Lonchura striata: one gene and its partners. Each later gene encodes a partner of the first gene's protein in a complex. Links are inferred from orthologs where the notes say so. Each region holds a gene or a part of one and is shown in the gene's direction. Other genes may lie near its edges.

The links. The genes of interacting proteins can lie anywhere in the genome.
Region 2: POLR3F (region 1) and POLR3K share a complex: the UniProt entries of both Homo sapiens proteins name them as parts of the RNA polymerase III complex. The link is inferred for Lonchura striata from reciprocal best matches to the Homo sapiens genes POLR3F and POLR3K.
Region 3: POLR3F (region 1) and POLR3D share a complex: the UniProt entries of both Homo sapiens proteins name them as parts of the RNA polymerase III complex. The link is inferred for Lonchura striata from reciprocal best matches to the Homo sapiens genes POLR3F and POLR3D.

Annotation. Positions count from the first base shown.
Region 1 is NC_134605.1:22,421,943-22,429,758, reverse strand, and holds the start of POLR3F (DNA-directed RNA polymerase III subunit RPC6), read left to right. Parts: upstream 1-4,649; 5' UTR 4,650-4,671; coding exon 4,672-4,727; intron 4,728-5,130; coding exon 5,131-5,248; intron 5,249-5,554; coding exon 5,555-5,622; intron 5,623-5,766; coding exon 5,767-5,834; intron 5,835-6,103; coding exon 6,104-6,216; intron 6,217-6,754; coding exon 6,755-6,898; intron 6,899-7,816. Other genes in the region: DZANK1 (double zinc ribbon and ankyrin repeat-containing protein 1), read right to left, coding at 417-526, 1,288-1,384, 1,679-1,796, 2,719-2,872, 3,504-3,612. UniProt on the Homo sapiens protein: DNA-dependent RNA polymerase catalyzes the transcription of DNA into RNA using the four ribonucleoside triphosphates as substrates.
Region 2 is NC_134618.1:4,521,895-4,527,205, forward strand, and holds POLR3K (DNA-directed RNA polymerase III subunit RPC10), read left to right. Parts: upstream 1-4,229; 5' UTR 4,230-4,252; coding exon 4,253-4,363; intron 4,364-4,456; coding exon 4,457-4,544; intron 4,545-4,623; coding exon 4,624-4,751; 3' UTR 4,752-4,811; downstream 4,812-5,311. Other genes in the region: RHBDF1 (inactive rhomboid protein 1), read left to right, coding at 634-1,053; SNRNP25 (U11/U12 small nuclear ribonucleoprotein 25 kDa protein), read right to left, coding at 2,542-2,596, 3,598-3,672, 3,757-3,862, 3,932-4,022, 4,092-4,217. UniProt on the Homo sapiens protein: Core component of RNA polymerase III (Pol III) which synthesizes small non-coding RNAs using the four ribonucleoside triphosphates as substrates. Can mediate Pol I proofreading of the nascent RNA transcript.
Region 3 is NC_134634.1:3,550,333-3,557,815, reverse strand, and holds the start of POLR3D (DNA-directed RNA polymerase III subunit RPC4), read left to right. Parts: upstream 1-4,483; 5' UTR 4,484-4,493; intron 4,494-6,929; 5' UTR 6,930-6,930; coding exon 6,931-7,089; intron 7,090-7,208; coding exon 7,209-7,252; intron 7,253-7,483. Other genes in the region: PHYHIP (phytanoyl-CoA hydroxylase-interacting protein), read right to left, coding at 386-560, 2,219-2,383. UniProt on the Homo sapiens protein: DNA-dependent RNA polymerase catalyzes the transcription of DNA into RNA using the four ribonucleoside triphosphates as substrates.

The DNA of each region.
Region 1 (7,816 bases):
AGTACTTATTATCCTTGATTCCCCCATTAGCTACATAGCTTCTTCTAATAAAAATAAATCAATGCCTTGCTATGTACTTCCACCACAACATTACTGAATATTGAGTTTTCAATATTAACTTGCCAACAAACAGCACTAAGTATTTGCTAACTGCAGATTCAGGAATGCATTAGGAAAGAATTAATAGGAATGCAGTCAGTGTTGATTTCCTTTGCCTGGTTTTGTCCATATTGACAACTGTGTCCTGCTTTGGGCATTCCCATTCTAGTGGATCACTACCAATGCATTTAAATCAGGACTGTAGAATCCAGGCAAAGTCATTACTAGCTGAGAGAGATCACCAATCTTCACCTCCTTTTTTTAGACCTCTGTCCTGATGACAGCCTTGCACAACTTTCGCCTAGCCCTCTGCTCACCTGCAATGACTCCACTGGTTGTGCTGAAGTGGATTTCTCTCTGTGCTTTGCAGCTCCCAAACCACTGGCAAGGAGCTGAGGTCCTTGAGGGGACCTGTGAGAAGGCCTGTCTGTTTCCAAGATTAAAATTACAATCCTGTTATTCCACTGTCACCCACTTCATGCAGTTAATAGATATCTAAACAGGAATGTTACATACTCTCACTAAGCATAATCAAAAACATATTTGGCATGCACATTTTGGGTTCAAATAAGCTGCATAGAATCACAGGAAATTAAACTAGGAGAACCCCCACACTTCTCTGACAGAGCTTACTTTTGTATTTTAATTTATTTACAGTTTTCTTCCTTCCTGCATGAAGGAAGAAAAATCCCAGCTCCTAAGAGTAAACTAATGAGTAAACATTAATACAGTTACCTGCTCTAAAACAGTCCCATTGCTGTTGCCAAGGAATAAGAGACTTTATCTACAGAGAAAATCTGGGTGAAGCTTTCATTTCTGCTCAGTGTATTTATTTTGGAATCTTGCTGCAAGCAAACATCAGTAAAGAAACTCTGTAAAGGATTTGCAATCCCATCAATTTAACAGCATCTTCTGGCACAAAGGGAAATACAGACAGGGCTTTGGTGTGTTGCTGAGAAATGATTGATGTTTTAATATGTTTTTAAGAAGTCATGTGAAATGTATGCAAAGTAAATTCTGTTCTCTATTTGCAGTGTTGAGCAATCAAAACTGGAATTTCCACAGGATGCTCTGTCTTCTGAGAGGATTTTAAAATTACCCACATTTTACAAGCAAAACAAGAGGGAAACTCTTTGCAACTTTCTGCTAGAATAGAAGACTATCTCAGTTTTATGAAGTGATACTTACCTTGAAGGTCTTGGGATGTTTCATCCCAGGCAGGCTTGATTTCCACATTCAGTCTATTCTTCTTAGGTTTTGTAGTAAATGTTCCACCTTCCTTATTCTAAAATGTAATTCCATTTGAATTACAAATACATTTTTTTGCTTTTGCTCTCATCCTCTCCTGCTATAGTTATTTGTTAAAATTTTAAAAGTACATGTTTAAGGTATTTATTTTCAATGCAAGCATGCGAAAAGCTTAATTTTAATATTACAGAAAGGACCAAAGCAGCAAAGATGGGCAAACAGAGAAAATTATATATGTGAATAAAACTGGCAGTCAAAGCTTAATCTCTAAGTAATATCATATATACAACATTTTACAATCACACAAGGGGTTACAATTTCCAAAACTTACCTGTGTGGCTATATCTTTTAGGAAATTCTTGTCATCATCTTCAACCGGGAAAAGGATGTTTGGTTGCTGGTACTCTACCACAAACACCTTTGTCACAATTGAACTCTCCCTGTAGTCCCTGAAAATCAATATTCCCACAGCTAAGAATCCAACACAGACCTGTATGCTGCAACATGAAAATCACTGATGGATGTGGCTTATTAGGTGGAACATCCCTTCCAAGCTTTTATTTATATCATTATAGTGAATCTATGAAAATGTCTTAATATAAACAGACTGCAAATAAGTGTTAGTCTAGGCAGTGATGGCAAGAAAATAAATATAAGCCTAGGTTTTGAGTGTTATATAATGTTGTTGTATTGCAGTGCAGCCACAAGCACAGGCTGACTGCAGGTGCTGCTAACAGGGAACAGCAGACACAAATCTCCAAGTGGAGTGGAAGTTCCTGCTCCCTTGGAAATAAAAGATAATGCAATACAGTACAGACAGAGAAATGATGTGTCCTTTCTCTGTCTCTAAGCATGAAGTTATTTCTGACAAAGTCAGTGGCAGTGCAGCAAAATCCAGTTTTCTTTTCGTGTATTGTATTTTTGCTTCAACCAACGTTGTATACTTAAGCTGTGAGGTTCGGCATTCTGTGATCCTTTGGGAGAAGCTAAACAAATTCCTGGGAAAACCAGCTTCTATAAATCCACTGAACCACTGGATGACCCCAGAAACACCAGCCTGGTTTCTCTGGTGTTTCTGATGGTCACACTCCAAAGGATGAGCTCTCAGTACATCACCTCCTCACCCACAGCCTCCAGGATCACTGGACACTCTGAGTCCAGGAGAAAACACCCAAGAGGTTATCCAATCACACAAACACTTGATGGATAAAAATTATCCTGAGAAAGCCAACTCAGTGCTATTCACGAGTTTGCAAACTGCCTGGGGAAAGGCTAATCTCTCACTTGCAGGGTATGGAACGCTTTAGACAACACAAGCTGTGACAGGGATGTCTGTCCCTTGCCAAAAATAAACCAAAACAGGATACTCACTTTGTAACTGCCAGGGCTTTAACTATTATTTTCCCCACTGGTAATATGATAGGACCCTTATACTCCAAAGTGTTATGTGGTCCATAGCCAGGTTTCCTAATGAGTTCTGGTTTGCTTCCATCTAAAGTGTAATAAATAGAGGCCTCAGGTGTATCTGAAAGAAACAGAAAAAGTAATTCCTCAGACTGTAGGCAACCTTGGAAAAACAAATTACTCACTACAGTGCTTGATTTTGCTCACATAAAGAAAATAAAGTAGTTCCATAAGAGACCAAATATTTGGGATCAAAACTGTTTCTTCCATGAAATATCAGTTATTCAACAAAAGCAATTTCATTATAAGCAATATTTCTGACAGAAAAGTATCTGTAAAACGATTTTGCACACAAACATTGCAGCAGCTTGTCCATTCCAACAACAGAAAGGGTATTTTCTGCCACAGCAAAAGGTGATAATTCAAAAACTGTAACGACAATGTTGGGAGTGAGCCTGGCACATGATTCTTTCAAGAACTGTTTTTGCCGTCAAAGCCAAATGCAACAGCTTAAAAGTTTGGCCTTGGAAGCAATTAAGACTGCTACACATATGTCAGTAATGTTGTTGCGATAAATAAAATTACATGCAAGTGTATCTGGTGCATCAAACCTGTTAGTTAACTTTTTAAGTTCCTTAATGAAATGCATGCTACAAAAATCATGACTAAATATGAAAAAAGTATAAATGCCAAATATTTCAAATGGACACATAAGTACAGGTTTGAGGTGGAGTTAAAGCTCTTGTGCATACCTGATTTTATTTCTATGAGAGTATTTGTGTCTATTTCCCGTTGAGCTTTCCCTGGAGGTGGGATTCGAAGTGGGATGATCTGAGGAGCTGAGACAGAGCCAGCTGTCATTTTTCTCAGCAGTGATCTTTAAAATAGAAAAGTAAAAAGGCAGACAATCATTTAACTAAAAAGAAGAATGCACTGAGAAACAGTCATTTAGCATGACTCCTGGTCTTCATTTGTTTCTCTTAAAAGAGAGAAAACTGGATTCTTTAAACCATCCTGTGACTGTGATTCTGTGTGTTTGAGCTAGAACAGCTCCAGCACCTCATGTCAGTGATACATGGAAGGAGTAAGGGACAGGAATCTCCACCCTCACCATGTCATATGTGAAACCAGCCTCGTCCCACTATGGCCACCTGAGTACAGCATGCCCTGGAAAGGACTAAAGAAAAACAGCTGTTTCTTAAGCTTATGCCAGATATCATGTGGATCCAGAATATATCCATGAAAACCTGATTTATCCTGATATACATAGTCATTATCATGGCATGTAATTCAAGAGTGAAAAATTGCATTTGGATACAATGACATTTTACAAAACAAAGATATGTACTCCAGATCTTGGGAATTGATACTCAGGGCCAGGAAACACGTCTGTGCTACAAGGATTTGGTTTTGTCACCACCTCCAGGGCTCCAGAAACAGCTCTGATGCTACTCATCAATGCAGGAGTGAGGGACACTCCCCACCCTCTTTGGGCAATCTGTTCCACCTTTACAGGGCGAGGGTGAACCTTTCCCGTGCAAGTGCGGCACTTCCCGTGTCCCAGATTCTCCCTGTCGCCTCCTGTCTCATTTTCGGGCACCCCGGAGCAGAGCCTGGTCCATCCCCTGACACACACCACCAAGCACGGGCGATCAGCTCTCCCCGACCCGAGCGGGCGTTCAGCCTTCCCCTCACGCCCTTGGCACACCCAGGCTCCGCTCCAGCCTTTTGGGATCGCATCCCTGGCGGGACGCACCGCCACCCCGCCCGCTCCCCGCCGCTCCAGGGCGCGGCCTCACAGCTCTGCCCGCTCCACCGCCGGCGTGCGGCCCTGCTCGCCCGCCGCTCCGTTTCCAGGGACGCCGCCGCCGCCGTGGCGCGGCGCTGACGTCATCTCGGCGCGCCGGAGCCCGCGGTGCCATGGCGGAGGTGAAGGTGAAGCCGGAGGTGCCCGATCCCATGGACATCGAGAGCAGGTGCTGGTGGCTGTGTGAAGGCCGCAGAGGACGGGTTTTGGGGCTGGGGGAAGCAGGCGTGGCGGGGCGTTGTCGTTCAGGACCTTTGTGGGGTGGTTCGACGCTCGAGTGTTAACCAGGAAATGGATGCTGGAGGAGAGGGTTGTTAGGGGCACGGGGAGCTTCGTGCTGGGAGGTGCTTAGGGGGCAGTGAGGGTTGGGTCAGGTCACTTTCGGCTGTCCCGGAGTTTTTCTGGTCTTGGAAAGGGAAACGGTGCACAGGGATTGGTGCCGAGCTCCCTCAAGAAGTAATTGATGGATACTTTTCCCCGGAGTTGCTCTTGTCACCCTCTTCCATCCTGACTCCAGTACGGTTTGGATGCAGCAGAACATGGCTTTTAAAGTCGCTTCTCTCCTCCTGCAGGATCATTGAACTCTGCCACCAGTTCCCCCATGGCATCACGGACCAGGTGATCCAGAATGACATGCCTCACATGGAAGCCCAGCAGAGAGCTGTGGCCATCAACAGGCTGCTCTCCATGGTAGGGACAGCCCGCCTTCCTCATCTTCCTCAGCACACACATAACCACAGGCCCATTAGGGATGGGGAGGGTCAGGAACTGTTTGTTATTTCTGATAGCTGATGATAAGTGGAAATTTGTCAGGGGAAAAAAATATCCTCAAGGCTGTTACTGTTTCCAGTGGTTAGAAACATTAGTTTTTATTTTTCTTTATTTAGTTGACATTAAACAATGGTTTTGCTCTAGAATTTCAGAATATTTTTCTAAAATACCCTCTGAAACAAGCTGTTTGAAGGAAAGTAAATGCATTGTGCCCATCTCTCCTAGGGGCAGCTGGACCTTCTGAGGAGCAGTGCAGGTCTCCTGTACAGAATCAAAGATTCCCAAAATGCAAGGTAAGTCTGTGTCTGCTGGGTAAGTATGTTTGGAACACAATTCCTGTTTAAAACAAATGAAACTTCAATTATTGTTTTAAACAAATCAAACTTCTTTCAAATTTTGGACCTTTCAAAAATCCTGGTGTCTGTCTTGTTTTACAGTAAGATGAAAGGTTCTGACAATCAAGAGAAGCTGGTTTACCAAATCATAGAGGACGCAGGCAACAAAGGTACTTTAAATTATGATTGTGAATGGTACTAACTTTGTTTGCTTATGGGACCATTTCTGTCCAAAGTCACAAATGCTTGCTCAGACAATACAAATATAAAATCTAATGCCCCATACCTGCTTGTTTCCTAATCTCTTCCATTTCTTCCCTTTTGCTGGGAGTGGCAGACAAGCAACCCAAGCAGTGTTCTGATGTGACTTTTGGTTGGTATATGTGGAAACAAATGGTTTCTTCTATTTATTTTTGTTCACTTCTCTGTTTTTTAACAGGTATTTGGAGCAGGGACATTAGGTACAAAAGCAATCTGCCTTTAACAGAGATCAACAAGATACTGAAAAACTTGGAAAGCAAGAAACTAATTAAAGCAGTTAAATCTGTGGCAGTGAGTATTTTGTGACTCTCTTTGTAACAATTTCAAACATCTGCTTCATGTTTTGTATGCTTGTAACAGGGGCCTGGGGACAGAGAAACCTCATTTTACCTCCAGCTTTCTCTTTGGCTGTGCACCAGTGTTTGACTCTGTACCTTTAGTGTGCAGGTTTGAGGTGCAGCAGATACTGGCTCCACAGGTCAGCTTCTCTGCTGTCTTCACTTACGTGGTTCTCACTGGGTCTGGTAAAGCAGGTGTGGGTGGAGAAGTTGGACATAGCAAAGCAGTGGCTTTTTTGTGTTCATGTGAAAATGCTGGGTTCATCTAGTCTTCCAACACTATGTTTTAAAATGATTAGGAATCAAAATGAGTTGATCTTCTCTTTATCTCTGTGTTACCTGAGGGACAAACAGGTTCAGGATACCTGGAGTCAGGTGGCTTGCTGTGCCTTAGGTATAAGAGTAATAAACCTCTTTTGCAGATTATCTGGATACAAGTCCTTCCTTATGAAGGAAGGAATTGTTGAGAGCTGCACATCTCCCTCCCACAGGCATCCAAGAAGAAGGTCTATATGCTGTATAACCTGCAGCCCGATCGCTCCGTCACTGGGGGGGCCTGGTACAGTGACCAGGACTTCGAGTCTGAGTTTGTGGAGGTGTTAAACCAACAGTGTTTTAAGTTTCTGCAGAGTAAGGTACGTGCCAAAGTCACCCGCCATTTGTTTTGTAAACAGGTGCCAAGCAAGGCTTAGGTTTTCCATAAGGGTTGGCCATTATTGCAGCTAGATTGGCAAATCTCTGCTGGACTATTATTTTTGTCACAGTAGGTGGAATAGTGTTGTATTTAATGATGGGTACTTTTCCACCCTGGGCAAGGAGGGAAGCCTTTTATCCCTGAGGTCCAATGACAGCCTATCCTAGATAACCCAAAATTGTGTACTCCTTATCTTCTGTGTGCCAGCCTGCCCAAGAGTATTACTGTCCCTAAGACAAACAACCCAGGAAAGAGGAACTTGTGTGTTTTATCCTGGAAGGGAGGTGCAGGATCCCTTTAGAAACGGGAAATCATGGGGGGAGTGCGTTTGTTCTTCCTGGGTGCCCGAGGGGATTGCCTGGGGCGGAGCTCCAAGTCGATACCCGAGAAGCTGCTCCAGAGGGAATTTTGCAATACCTTTTCCAGCCGAGGAGGAGTCAGGTCGTCTCTCCACGATTTTCCAGCACCTGTCGTTTGTTTGTCCAGGAGGGGGCAGATCTGCAACTTGCCGGAAGTTTTTTCCAGCTTTTTTGGCAGCATAGGAGCCTTTTGGCCAAAAATTGTTTTAAATAAAATTATCCAAGTTTGGTTTTGTCCCTCTCCCCCCCCCAATTGTTGTTCATGGAAGTTCAGGAACTGCAGAGGCCGTTAGCTTTTATTTAGTATTTTTTCCCCTTTCTATCTTCTCTCATTTTGTCTCTTATTGGTGGAAGAAGATTGGTTAAAACTAAAGGGGAGATAACTCATTTTGGAGTCTCCACCCCGTATAATTGTCTTAAACTAGGACACAAACCAGGCAGCAAACACCAGAGGACCAAAAAATGTAGGAAAAGCCACTGTAGTTTCTGCAGGGCACCCC
Region 2 (5,311 bases), on another chromosome or scaffold:
GCCTCTGTGGCTGAGGCAGAGCGAGCAGAGCTGGGCTCACCACTGCAGCCTTGGCACTGCAGCTCAAGGATGGCAGCACACCATCATTCAGCTGCTGAGCAGCAACATCCCGGGGTACCAGGGGCTTTGCAAGTGGCTGGCCTGGCTGGCTGCAGGAAGAAGGCTGCTTCTCATAACAGATGGGGGACTGTCCAGCCACGGGGTGAGAGGGGCCCCAGGCAGGCTCGGAATCAAGTGTGGTGTCAGCAGCCTCCGCCTGAGAGTGGCAAAGAGCAGACCTCACCCTGCCCACAGGAGACTGCATGGCTGGACCTGCAGGAGCCTTCCAGCTCCTAAGGAAAACTACAGGGTGGGTGGGGCAAGCCAGGAGATTGCCTTCAAGGGCTACTCCCCTCTGGCAGCTTGAACCAGATCTGCCCTCCTTAGTCTGTTCTGGCCTCACACCTTGATCCTAAATCCACACCTTGATCCCTTTACTCCCAGCACCCCATTATATGGATGAAGTTGGAGAGTCTCTTTGCCAAGAACCACTGAACAGGATTTGAGTAAGAAGCAACTAATTCCTGGAGCTGGCTGCAGAGGCCAGGAACGTGGCATGAGCCTGACATTATCTGTAATGCTCTTCTTCTGCAGGTTGGCCCTGCAGGATCCCAATTTGGAATTCTGGCCTGTCTCTTTGTGGAGCTCTTCCAGAGTTGGCAAATCCTGGCACGCCCATGGAGGGCTTTCTTCAAGCTGCTGGCTGTGGTGCTCTTTCTTTTTGCCTTTGGCCTCCTGCCTTGGATCGATAATTTCGCTCACATTTCAGGATTTATCAGTGGTTTCTTCCTCTCCTTTGCCTTCCTGCCCTACATTAGCTTTGGGAAGTTTGATTTATATAGGAAACGATGCCAAATTATAGTTTTCCAGCTCATCTTCATCGCACTCTTCTCAGGACTGGTGATTCTGTTCTATTTCTACCCCATCAAGTGCGAGTGGTGCGAGTTCCTCACTTGTATACCCTTCACAGACAAATTCTGCGAGAAATACGACCTGGATGCACAGCTCCACTGACAGCAAAGACTGGCTTCTCGAGCAGGCCCTGGAGATGGACTGTCTTTGCATTTGCTGTGCCAGTTCCATGGGGACAAAGCCTCTAATCCAATGACACTTCTAACCCTGCCCGTGGTTAATTTAAACTGTCTCCTTAGCACTTGGCAGGCATGGTTTGCCTTATCTCAGAAGACTCTGAAAAACAGAACATTTGTGCCTTGTTCAATTGTATTGAACCTTTTCTGCTGCCATTATTTTTATTACACTAGTTTCAATACTACATTTTTAACCAGAGTTGTTTACTACTGCTGAGGTGGTGATTAAACAGTGAGGTAGCGTTTTAGCTACTGTGAATTGTTCTGAGTAGTCTGTGCCTACCTTTGTTACTTAATCTCACTCCTGCTGTTTTATGTACCCTGTGGAGCACCCAAACCAGCCAGATACACATCTGCAGCTGGAAATAAGGGCCTGAAAAACCTCAGAAAACTAGAGGATCTCTTTAATCCCTGCAACCCACATACAGCTCAGAGGCAAACACCACAAAGAGCAACTGTAAAAAACGTGAGAATGTCCAGTCAATGGAGTTTGTTCCTCTTTGAAGTGTGACAGCCTTTTCCTCCAGGAAGGTGCTTAATCCACAGTCTGGTCTTGGTAGGGCTGGATTCTCTGCTCTCTCTGTTTAAGAAAGAAAATATTTGTCAGTGACAATAATTATTGCATGCTGATCTTTTCTCACCACGCTGCCATGATGGCCCAGGAGAGACCAGCCAGTGCCAGAGGTGACTGCTGGTCACAAGCACCCTGGAGCAGGTGGCTGTTGTTAGGGCGCACATTTTATTACACTGGATCTTGAAAATATGGCAGTGTTGAAAGAAGAATAAAAGGTAACTGCGGTCAAAAAGGAACAGTTTTTAACCCAGCTGCCTGGAGCAGCAAAACAACACAAGGCTTTGGACAAGCTGCTCTTACTCGTTCTTCAGCCACTGTGACTGTTTCTAAAAGCGTAATTTAAAACTTAGTAAGCCTGAGAGTCTTGGCCACATCTTGTGTTTGTGTGCACAGCTTTCTCAAAATAGCAGTATTAATACCAGAATTATGTCTGCATGAGTTAGAAACCCAGCCATGCTCCTGACAATGATTTCCAGACATTTAAAAAGCCTAAAAGAAAGCAAGGTCCTAGAAGCAATCACAGCAGCAAAAGAACACTGTGTTTAATGAGTCTCAAGACAATGTAGAAGCAGATTGAGAATCTAAACATAAAGTCAGCTATTCCTGCTGCTGCTCCCAGTTTATGTTACCTGAAATAGCTGAATTATCATTCCCTGCCCTGAGAATAGCACAAACAACATTACCAGGATCTGGAAACAGGCACCAGCCCAGTGCAGGCATTCAGAAATACTCTGCCAGCCAGCAGAGAGCAGCAGCATCAGCTCTGAGCCTCAACACCATGGCCTGGGGAAGATGAGGAACTGGGAGCTCTTAATGGACGTCTGGGACTCACCCCACAGGTTACTTCCGAAGCTTCTTTATGAAGCTGACCTCATCCCGGTTCCTGATGCCATACCTGAACACAGAGTTATGCTGTTAATGCCAGCTTCCCAGGAAAAACAACCTGTAAAACCCTATAGCTTCATCTTTCCCAGGGACATAGGGACTCCTACAATCCCATGTTGTGCTCTACTAGAGGACACATTAAAATTCTCACTTGTGTATGTGGGATGTGCTGCCAGCACTGAAGGATCTGCTCATCTGCCTTTAAGTGCAACGACCCCTTAAATGCAACATCTGTCACCCAGGCTCACTCTTCCAAGGACAGCTTTGATTAGGGCTGTCTTGCTGAATTTTTAGTACTTCAGACCACCTTTTCTCGCTGGTCTGCAACAGGCTGGCAGACCCAGCACTGCAGGGAAGTGCCTTATTCTACCTCGCCTCAAGAATGGGCAGGGAAACATGGGAATCACCTGTCAGCGTTGTTACCAGAGTGTCTGAGAGGTGGCTGAGCAGCCCCAAAGATCAACACCCATCCTTGGGTTTCCTCTTTGCTTGGCATTCATCATAGAATCACAGAATGTTACAGGGTTGGAGTGGACCTTACAGAGCATCCAGTGTCAACATCCCTGCCATGGACAGGACACCTCTCACTAGGCCAGGTTCCTCAAAGCCTTATCTAACCTGGCCTTGACCACTGCCAAGGCTGGGGCATCCACAGCCTCCCTGTTCCTGTTCCCTGCTCTTTCCTGTCCTACATCAATATCTGTGCCGAGCTGAGTAACTGTAACCATCTGCAGGAGCTTGGGAGGGATGGCCAAGGGTTCTGTGGGGTGCCCTGCACTGGCTGAACCAGCACAGGATGGTGCTGGCTGAGGATGAGGAACCCCCCAGGGCCAGCCTGTCCTGCAGAGAGCCTCTCAGTCTTCCTGTCCCGCTTCTGTGGTCAGTGCTGTCCCACCTTTCCTGGCAATGTCCACTACAGGACCCGTGATCCAGGGCACAACCTCCCAGCTCAGCCCTGCCCGTGGGGACGCTGCGTGGGCCCCTCACCCCCAGCGCTGACTCGTAACTCACTCTCTCAGCTTCTTCCTGTCATCCGCCAGCTTCTCTCCATTGTACGTGAGGTGGTACGTCCTCCAGATGTACCTCCTGCGGGAAAAGCGCTCAGGGGCAGCCGCGGGAGCGGCGCCGGGCTGGGGCGCGCTCCCGAGCCGCCCGCCCGGCCCCGCTCACCAGCTGAGGTGCTGGACACCGCCCTGCCGGGCCTGCCTCAGCTGGATGTGCCGCCGCAGCGCCTTCTTCAGCTCCAGCACCGAGGCGTTCTGCACCACCACCACGGCTGCGGGCGGGAGAGCCGCGTCAGGCGCGCCCCGCCGGCCCCGCCCGCCCCGCCCGGCCCCGCACGCACGCACGGTCTCGCCGTCCGCCTTGCACACCCGCACCGTCATGGCCTGCCCGTACTCCAGGGCCACCTGCGAGCCGATCTCCTCCGCCGTCACCTGCGGGCGAGGGACGCGGCCGTGAGCCCAGCCCAGCCGCGCCGGCCCGGCCCCGCGCCCCGGGCGCACCTGCGGGGGGAGGTCGCAGAGCAGCGGGTCCTGCACCAGCCGCGCCAGCGCCGCCTGGAACAGCTCCAGCACCTCGGCGTGCGCCAGCTCCTCCGCCGGCTCCTCCGCCGGCCCCGCGGCCGCCATCGCCGGAAGGGGCGGGCGGCGCGGCGGAACCCGCGATGCTGCTCTTCTGCCCGGCCTGCGGGAACGTGCTGGTGGCCGAGGAGGGGCCGCGCTGCCACCGCTTCGCCTGCACCACCTGTCCCTACGTGCGCAACGTGACGCGGAAGGTACCGCGGCGGGGCGGCGCGGGGCGGGGGCCGCCGTGCTCGGGGCGCGGGGCGCGGGGCCCGGGCTGAGCCGCTCCCGTGCCCGTCCCGCAGGTGACCAGCAGGAAGTACCCGCGGCTGAAGGAGGTGGACGATGTGCTGGGCGGCGCCGCGGCCTGGGAGAACGTGGACTCCACGGCAGGTAGGGCCGGGCCGAGGGGCGGCGCGGGGCTGGCTGGGCCCCGCCGCCCCTCACGGCCCCTCACGGCGCTTTCCCGCAGAGCCGTGCCCCAAGTGCGAGCACCCCCGCGCCTACTTCATGCAGATCCAGACGCGCTCGGCCGACGAGCCCATGACCACCTTCTACAAGTGCTGCAACCCGCAGTGCGGGCACCGCTGGCGGGACTGAGGGCCGGGGGAGCGGGTTTAGAATCGCTGCTGCTCCCGCAATAAACAGCGCTGCGGGCGAGCGAGCGGCTGCTGCGTGGTTGCTTTGGGCCGGACAGGGAGGGCGAACAGGCTCCAGCACGGTGCTGTGCCCCCAACGCACACGGGGCAGGGTGATACGGTCACACCGAGAAACCCGTGTTTGAACAGACAGGTGTGAAGGTAGCCGAGCTGAAGCACGGTGAGGAAACCCCCCACGCCTCAGCCCCGAGCACAGCACAGCAGGTAAAGCAGAGGGGAAGTGTAACCACTGTGCCCTTACAGAGAACCAAAAATAAAAAAAAGGGGCTTGGCTGTGACCTGTGAAAATCCTGTCAGTTAAAGCAGGAACTACAAACTACACACTGCAACCAGTTACTGATAAAAGGAGAATGTGCTTCAAGTAGGATCACATATTACTTGTGTTTTAACATCAAGCTTTATTCTCAGTTTTCAGAAGTAAAAACGATAAATAACTTAATAAAAACATGATGGAGCACAAATTGTAACATTTAATCTCCATGGACACTCCCTCCAACAGGC
Region 3 (7,483 bases), on another chromosome or scaffold:
GCACCATCCCCGTCCTCCCTCTCAGCTCCAGGCGTTGCCCTCTTCCCTCTTCTCTCTTCCATCTCCCAGCCCATCAACCCCATCCTCCCTCCTGACTCCCAGCTCTGGGCTTTTCCCCTGTCCTCCTCATCCTCCCGGCTCCCAGCATCACCTCCATCCTCCTCCCAGCTCCCGGGACCGTCCCCATCCCCCGGCCCAGTTCCCGACTCCAGGAGCATCAATCCCGTCCTCCCTCCCGGCTTCCAGCATCGCCCCCATCCTCCTCCTGGGATCGCCCCCATTCTCCTCCTGGGATCGCCCCCATCCTCCTCCTGGGATCGCCCCCATCCTCCCTCCGGGCTCCCGGGGACGCCCCCAGAGTCGCTCCCGGCTCGGTCCCGCTCACCCCCGGTGCAGAACTCCACGGTCTCGCTCCAGCCGGACACCAGGTACTCGCCGTCGCTCTGCTTGACCGCCGTCTGCACGGCCACGCTGTACTCGGTGCGGGGGCTCAGGAACCAGTGGCCCCGCACCGTCATGGGCAGCGGCACCGCCTTGGCCACCAGCTTGGTGGGGACATCCTGTTCCGAGCGGCGACGGTCAGGCGGGACAGCAGCCCACCGCCCGCACCGCCACCCCGCTCCGCGGGGACGCTGCCGGGTACCGCACCCCCAAAACATCCACAGAGACCCCCCAAAAATATCTACGGAGACCCCCCAAAATATCCACGGATATCCCCCTAAATATCCACGGAGTCCCTCCCAAAATATCCACGGAGTCCCCCCAAATATCCACGGATATCTCCCCAAAAAATCCATGGATACCCCCCCCAAAATATCGACGGATTCCCCCCCAGATATCCACGGAGACCGCCCCAAAATATCCACGGAGACCCCCTCAAAATATCCATGGATATCCCCCCAAAATATCCACGGAGACCCTCCCAAAATATCCACGGAGTCACTCCAAAATATCCACGGAGACCCCCCAAAAACACCGTGGTGAGCTCCCTTCTGCGATGGGGACACGGGGTCCCCGAGCTGGGGGTGGTCTCGGGGTGCAGGTGGGGGTGGTCTCGGGGTGCAGGTGGGGGTGGTCTCGGGGTGCGGGTGGGGGTGGTCTCGGGGTGCGGGTGGGGGTGGTCTCGGGGTGCAGGTGGGGGTGGTCTCGGGGTGCGGGTGGGGGTGGTCTCGGGGTGTCCCCACTCCCTGCTGCAATGGGGACACAGGGTCCCCGAGGTGGGGGTGGTCTCGGGGAGGGGGTGGGGGTGGTCTCGGGGAGGGGGTGGGGGTGGTCTTGGGGTGCCCCTGATCCCGGTGGCGATGGGGACACGGGGTCCCCGAGGTGGGGGTGGTCTCGGGGAGGGGGTGGGGGTGGTCTTGGGGTGCCCCCGCTCCCTGCCGTGATGGGGACAGGGGGTCCCCGAGGTGGGGGTGGTCTCGGGGTGCCCCTGATCCCGGTGGCGATGGGGACAGGGGGTCCCCGAGGTGGGGGTGGTCTCGGGGAGCGGGTGGGGGTGGTCTCGGGGTGCCCCCGCTCCCTGCCGTGATGGGGACAGGGGGTCCCCGAGGTGGGGGTGGTCTCGGGGAGGGGGTGGGGGTGGTCTTGGGGTGCCCCCGCTCCCGGTGGCGATGGGGACACGGGGTCCCCGAGGTGGGGGTGGTCTCGGGGAGGGGGTGGGGGTGGTCTCGGGGTGCCCCCGCTCCCTGCCGTGATGGGGACAGGGGGTCCCCGAGGTGGGGGTGGTCTCGGGGAGCGGGTGGGGGTGGTCTCGGGGTGCCCCCGCTCCCGGTGGCATCTCGCGGTGTCAATAGGCCACGGAGCAGCTCCGCAGTGCAGAGCCGTTTCTGTGGCAACGGCGGATGCTGAAGTCGGGAGATAGAGGGGAAAAAAATATCCCACCCCCCCACCCCCCCACCCCTTATTATTGGGGAGGAGAGGAAAAAAAAAAAAAACAATGTTAAACATTAAATAGCATCACCGTGGCAACGGCGCTGCTAAAAACGGCCCGAATTAGTGACTCGCAGCACGGGGAGGGGGAGCAGGAGCGGCTCCGCTCCTCCGCGGGGGCTCCGCGCGGTCCGTCACCCCCCGATCCCCATCCCAGCCTCCTCCGCCGGCGTGTCCCGTGAGGGGAATGACCCAAATTCGGCACTAGAGAGGGCTGAGAGCCAGTTCCTCCCTCCCAACCGCGTCTCCTCTCCCCGGGCAGGGGGTCCCGCGTCCTCGCCCGGCTCACCCGGTGCTTGAACTTGTTGGAATTCTTGTTCTCCTTCTTGTTGAGGTCGATGAAGTAGTGGGTGACCCTCTCCAGGTCCCCCTTCTCCATAGCCCAGGAGATGCGGAAGGAATCGCAGGTGATGTTGTTGATCTCGATGTTTTTGGGGGTGGACAGCAGCTCCATGGCCGGAGGGGCTGAGCTCCTGCGGGCACAGCGCGGGGGTCTGGCGGGTGCCGAGCCCCCTCTCGCTGCCCACGCCGCCTCTGCCAAGGCCGCCCGCGGCGGAGCAGATGGCAGCGGGCTGGAAAAGCGGCCGGGAGCCAGGAATAGGCAGCGCAGGCAGGAGCAGGCGGCGGGACGCCGGCAACAAGCCCGGTCGGGTGCGGGGGCCCCGGCCGCTCCCCCGGGTGCCGCGGGGCCCCGGCGCGACGCCAGCGGGCGTTTCGGGGTTTGCTCAACACCGGGTGGGGAAAGAAAAACAAGGGGAGAGCCGAGGGAGTTGCTGCGAGAGGGGAGGGTTGGACGCAGGCACTGGAAAAGCTGGATCCGCCTTTGCCCCGGCCCGTGCCTCAGTTTCCCTGCACCCACCAGGAAGGCGCTTTTTGGGGGCGGGGGAGGTGGGGGGGGTGGGCGATGCTCGTGGAGGGGGGACACGGAGTCACATTCGCGGCACGGGGACGGGAGGCTGGAAGCGAAGCGTGACCCGACCCCCCCAAATCTTCAGCCCGGGTTTGTGCGGGGGCAGCGGTGGCACCGCGGGGCTGCCAAGGTGCCACCACCCCCCCACCCACCCCCTCCGTGTGCCCACGGCCACCCACGCCGGGCTCAGCCGTGCGTGTCCCCGTCACTCGGCACCCACGGCCACCCACGGCCACGTGTCCCCCCCATCTGCGCAGCCCCCTGCACCCCAAAACCGCTGTCACCCCCCCACGCCAAAGCCCTTGGGCACGGCAGAAGGTCACCGCTCTGGGGACACGGTGCCACCTCGCTGCCCCGCTCCCGTGGCCGGCGGTGGCGCAGGAATTCTGCACCGGGATCGTGCCAGCTGGACCGTGTCACCGTGTCCCCGGTGCCTCGTGTCCCCTGCCAGCCCTCAGCGCCCCCCGTGTCCCCCCCTGCCCTCCGAGCATCCCTCGGCGGTGCCAGCGGGATGTCGCCCCGCTGCCAGCGGGGTTCGGCGGCCGCTCCGGTGGCAGCGGTGCCGGTGAGGGCCTTACCTGGCCGTGGCGGGGGGCTGCCGGGAGGAGCGGGGGTGCCGGTGGAGCGGCAGGGCAGGACAGAGAGCCCCGGCGGGGCTGATCCAAGCGGGAAGGACGGAGGATGCCGGAGGGATCGAGGTGGTACCCGGCGGTGCCGCGTCGCTGCCTGCGGCTGATGCGACTGGGATCCTCCCAGCCAGCTCGGAAATAGCAAACACCCTCCAGAGGAGGGAGAGGAGAGGGAAAAAAAAAAATTAAATAAAAAAATGGGGGAAAAATAGATATCCAAGGAGCTGGGAGAGAAGGGGGAGGAAGGAAAAACCTCCCGGTTCTGCCAATGGCATGGAGGGATGCGTGCGGCGTCAGGTGATGGAGGCAGAGTGGGATGTGGGTGCAGATTGGGGGTGGGTGGTGGGCAGGTTCTGCCTGTTCCCCCCCCCCATTTTTGGGGTCGGGGGGGGAGGGGTTGTCCCGGTTGTGCCGCTTGCGGGACAATGGGGACACCCCCTCCCGGCCCCAAAAATGGGATGGATGAGGAGCGTGGGAATGCTGGTACCCACACAGGACCCCCGCGAGAATGGGGTGCAGAGCCCACGGGGGGCGGACGGACGGACAGACTTTTTGTTTTGCACGTAGTAAACACCCTTCTTGCAGGGGAAAAGCTTTTTTTCGGGTGGGAGGGTGGGAGAACACCCCAAAATCCTCATTGCCCCCCAAATTTCTGCGAGGGGGTGCTCACGCATGAACCCCCTCTGTGGGGGTGCCGGCTGTGGGGCTGCAGAGGACCCTGAGGGGGTGGTCGCACTGCAGGAATCCCGTGAGGGTGTTAAATGAAAGGCTGAGTGACCCCCCAAAAATGTCCCCCCACAGCGCTGCCCCCGCTGCCCATTTGGAGAGCAGGGCGCTGCCCGTCACAAAGATGGCGCCGCCGCCTTCACACCGGCTCGGGCATTGCCAACCACAAAGATGGCAGCTCGTTGCCAAACCCGCCGTGCCCTCAGCAAAGATGGCGGCGGCAGCGTCGCCTCAGGAAGAGCGCGGCGTGAGTGACGCATGCGCAGTGGGGGCGGCGAGCCCGTGGCTGCCCGGGCAGGGTGAGGGGCGGCGTGGCGGGGCCGGGGGAGGATTTTGGGGGGTCCCGGGGGTCCTGAGGGGTGCGAGGAGGGGCAGCGAGCACGGAGGGGTCCCCCTGGGGGGCGGGGGGAGGGTGGGTCCGCTTTGGGGGTGCGCGAGGGGGTGGGAATGGCGGGGAGAGGGGGACGCGGAGGGGGCAGGGGGCGCAGGGGGGTGAGGCCCGTGAGGGGCGGGGGGCGCTGCCAGGGGGTTTTGGGGTTTTGGGGGGCCGGGGGTGGCTCATGGGGGTCCGAACCCCCGGGGAGGGGCGTGAGGGGGTGCTGGGGGGAACGGGGGGGCTGGGAGCCCCGGGGAGGGGGGAACAGGGGTCCTGTTTGGGGTGTATAGGGGACAAGGGGTCCTGTTTGGGGTGTAAGGGGTGCAAAGGGTCCTGTTTGGGTCCTGTTTGGGGTGTGTGGGGGATAAGGGGTTCTGTTCGGGGTGTAAGGGGTGCAAGGGGTCCTGTTTGGGGTCTATAGGGGACAGGGGGTCCTGTTTGGGTCCTGTTTGGGGTGTGATGGGGACAAGGGGTCCTGTTTGGGGTGTGTGGGGGATAAGGGGTCCTGTTCGGTGTGTAAGGGGTGCAAGGGGTCCTGTTTGGGGTCTATAGGGGACAGGGGCTCCTGTTTGGGTCCTGTTTGGGGTGTGATGGGGACAAGGGGTCCTGTTTGGGGTCTATAGGGGACAGGGGCTCCTGTTTGGGTCCTGTTTGGGGTGTGAGGGGGACAAGGGGTCCTGTTTGGGTCCTTTTTGGGGTGTATGGGGGACAAGGGGTCCTGTTTGGGTCCTGTTTGGGGTGTGTGGGGTGCAAGGGGGTCCTGTTTGGGTCCTGTTTGGGGTGTGTGGGGGACAAGGGGTCCTGTTTGGGGTTTATGGGGGGCTGAGACCCCCAGGGAGGGGGACAAGGGGTCCTGTTTGTGGTGTATGGGGTGCAAGGGGTCCTGTTTGGGGTGTGTGGGGGACAAGAGGTCCTTTTTGGGGTATATGGGCGGCTGAGACCCCTGGGGAGGGGACAAGGGGTCCTGTTTGGGGTGTAAGAGGTGCAAGGGGTCCTGTTTGGGGTGTGGGGGGGGATAAGGGGTCCTGTTTGGGTCCTGTTTGGGGTGTATGGGGGATAAGGGGTGTGTGTGTGGTGTGTGGGGTGCTGAGACCCCTGGGGAGGGGGCTACACGTGGACCCTATTTGGGGGTGCAGGGGGGTCATTTGTGGGGTTTGCATAGGACTGAGCCCATTTCGGGGTTCATTATTGGGATTTGAGCAGAACTGAGCCCACTTTGGGGTTGGTTATTGGGATTTGTGTAGAACTGAGCCCTGTTTGGGGTCTGTTACTGGGGTTTATGTAGAACTGAGCCCACTTTGGGGTTGGTTATTGGGATTTGTGTAGAACTGAGCCCTGTTTGGGGTCTGTTACTGGGGTTTATGTAGAATTGAGCCCAGTTTGGGGTTCATTATTGAGGTTTGTATAGAACTGAGCCCAGTTTGGGGTTGGTTATTGGGGTTTGAGCAGAACTGAGCCCAATTTAGGATCCATTATTGGGGTTTGTGCAGAACGGAGCCCAGTTTGGGGTTCATTATTGGGATTTGAGCAGAACTGAGCCATATTTGGGGTTCATTATTGGGTTTTATGTAGGGCTGAGCCCAGTTTGGGTTCCGTTCCTGGAATCTGAGCAGAACCAAGCCCAGTTTGGGGTTCATTATTGAGATTTGTGTAGAACTGAGCCCAGTTTGAGGTCCATTATTGGGGTTTATGTGGGACTGAGCCCAGTTTGGGTTCCGTTCCTGGGATTTGAGCAGAACCGAGCCCAGTTTGGGGTCTGTCACAAACCGAGCCCAGTTTGGGGTCTGTTACAAACCGAGCCCATTTTGGGGTTCATTACTGGGATTTGAGCAGAACTGAGCCCACTTTGGGGTTGGTTATTGGGATTTGTGTAGAACTGAGCCCTGTTTGGGGTCTGTTACTGGGGTTTATGTAGGACTGAGCCCAATTTAGGATCCATTATTGGCATTTGGGTAGAACTGAGCCCAGTTTGGGGTCTGTTACTGGGATTTGAGCCAAACCGAGCCCATTTTGGGGTTGGTTATTGGGATTTGTGTAGAACTGAGCCCTGTTTGGGGTCTGTCACAAACCGAGCCCATTTCGGGGTCTGTTAAAAACCGAGCCCACTTTGGGGTCTGTCACAAACCAAGCCCATTTTGGGGTCTGTCACAAACCGAGCCCATTTCGGGGTCTGTCACAAACCGAGCCCACTTTGGGGTCTGTCACAAACCAAGCCCAGTTTGGGGTCTGTCACAAACCGAGCCCATTTCGGGGTCTGTCACAAACCGAGCCCATTTCGGGGTTCATTCCTGGGATTTGAGCAGAACCGAGCCCATTTCGGGGTGCAGCCCCCAGCCCTGAACCCTCGCCCTGCCCGCAGGATGGCCGAGGGTGGCTCTGGCAGCTCGGGCTCGCCGGGCAGCGCCCGCCCGGGGCTCCGGGGGGTGCTGGGCCGGCGCCCCAGCGCCGCCCCCCAACTCGGCCCCGGCCGCCTGCCCTCCATCCGCTCCCGCGACCTCACCCTGGGCGGCGTCAAAAAGGTGAGACCCCCCTTTTCCCCCCAAAATTGGGGTCACTCCCCATCCCCAGCCAGGGTTTGGGGTGGTGACAAAGCCCAGGGTGGATTTTGGGGTGATTTTTTTTTCCTCTCTGCCCACAGAAAACCTTTGCCCCCAACATCATCAGCAGGAAGATCAAGGAGGAGTGAGTGGACATCAGGGGGGTTAAAAAAGGGGGGATGGGGATGGTTTTGGGGGGCTGGAGCGTTTTTGGTGGGGGGGAGGTTGTGGGGAGTGGAACTGGTTGGGTTGGAGAAGGGAGGAGTGGAAGGGGATCCATGGAAATATCCCAAATATCCATGGAAATGGCTGAGATATCCCAAAAGTTCGTATAAATATATCAGAATTTCATATAAATATCCTGAATATCCATAGA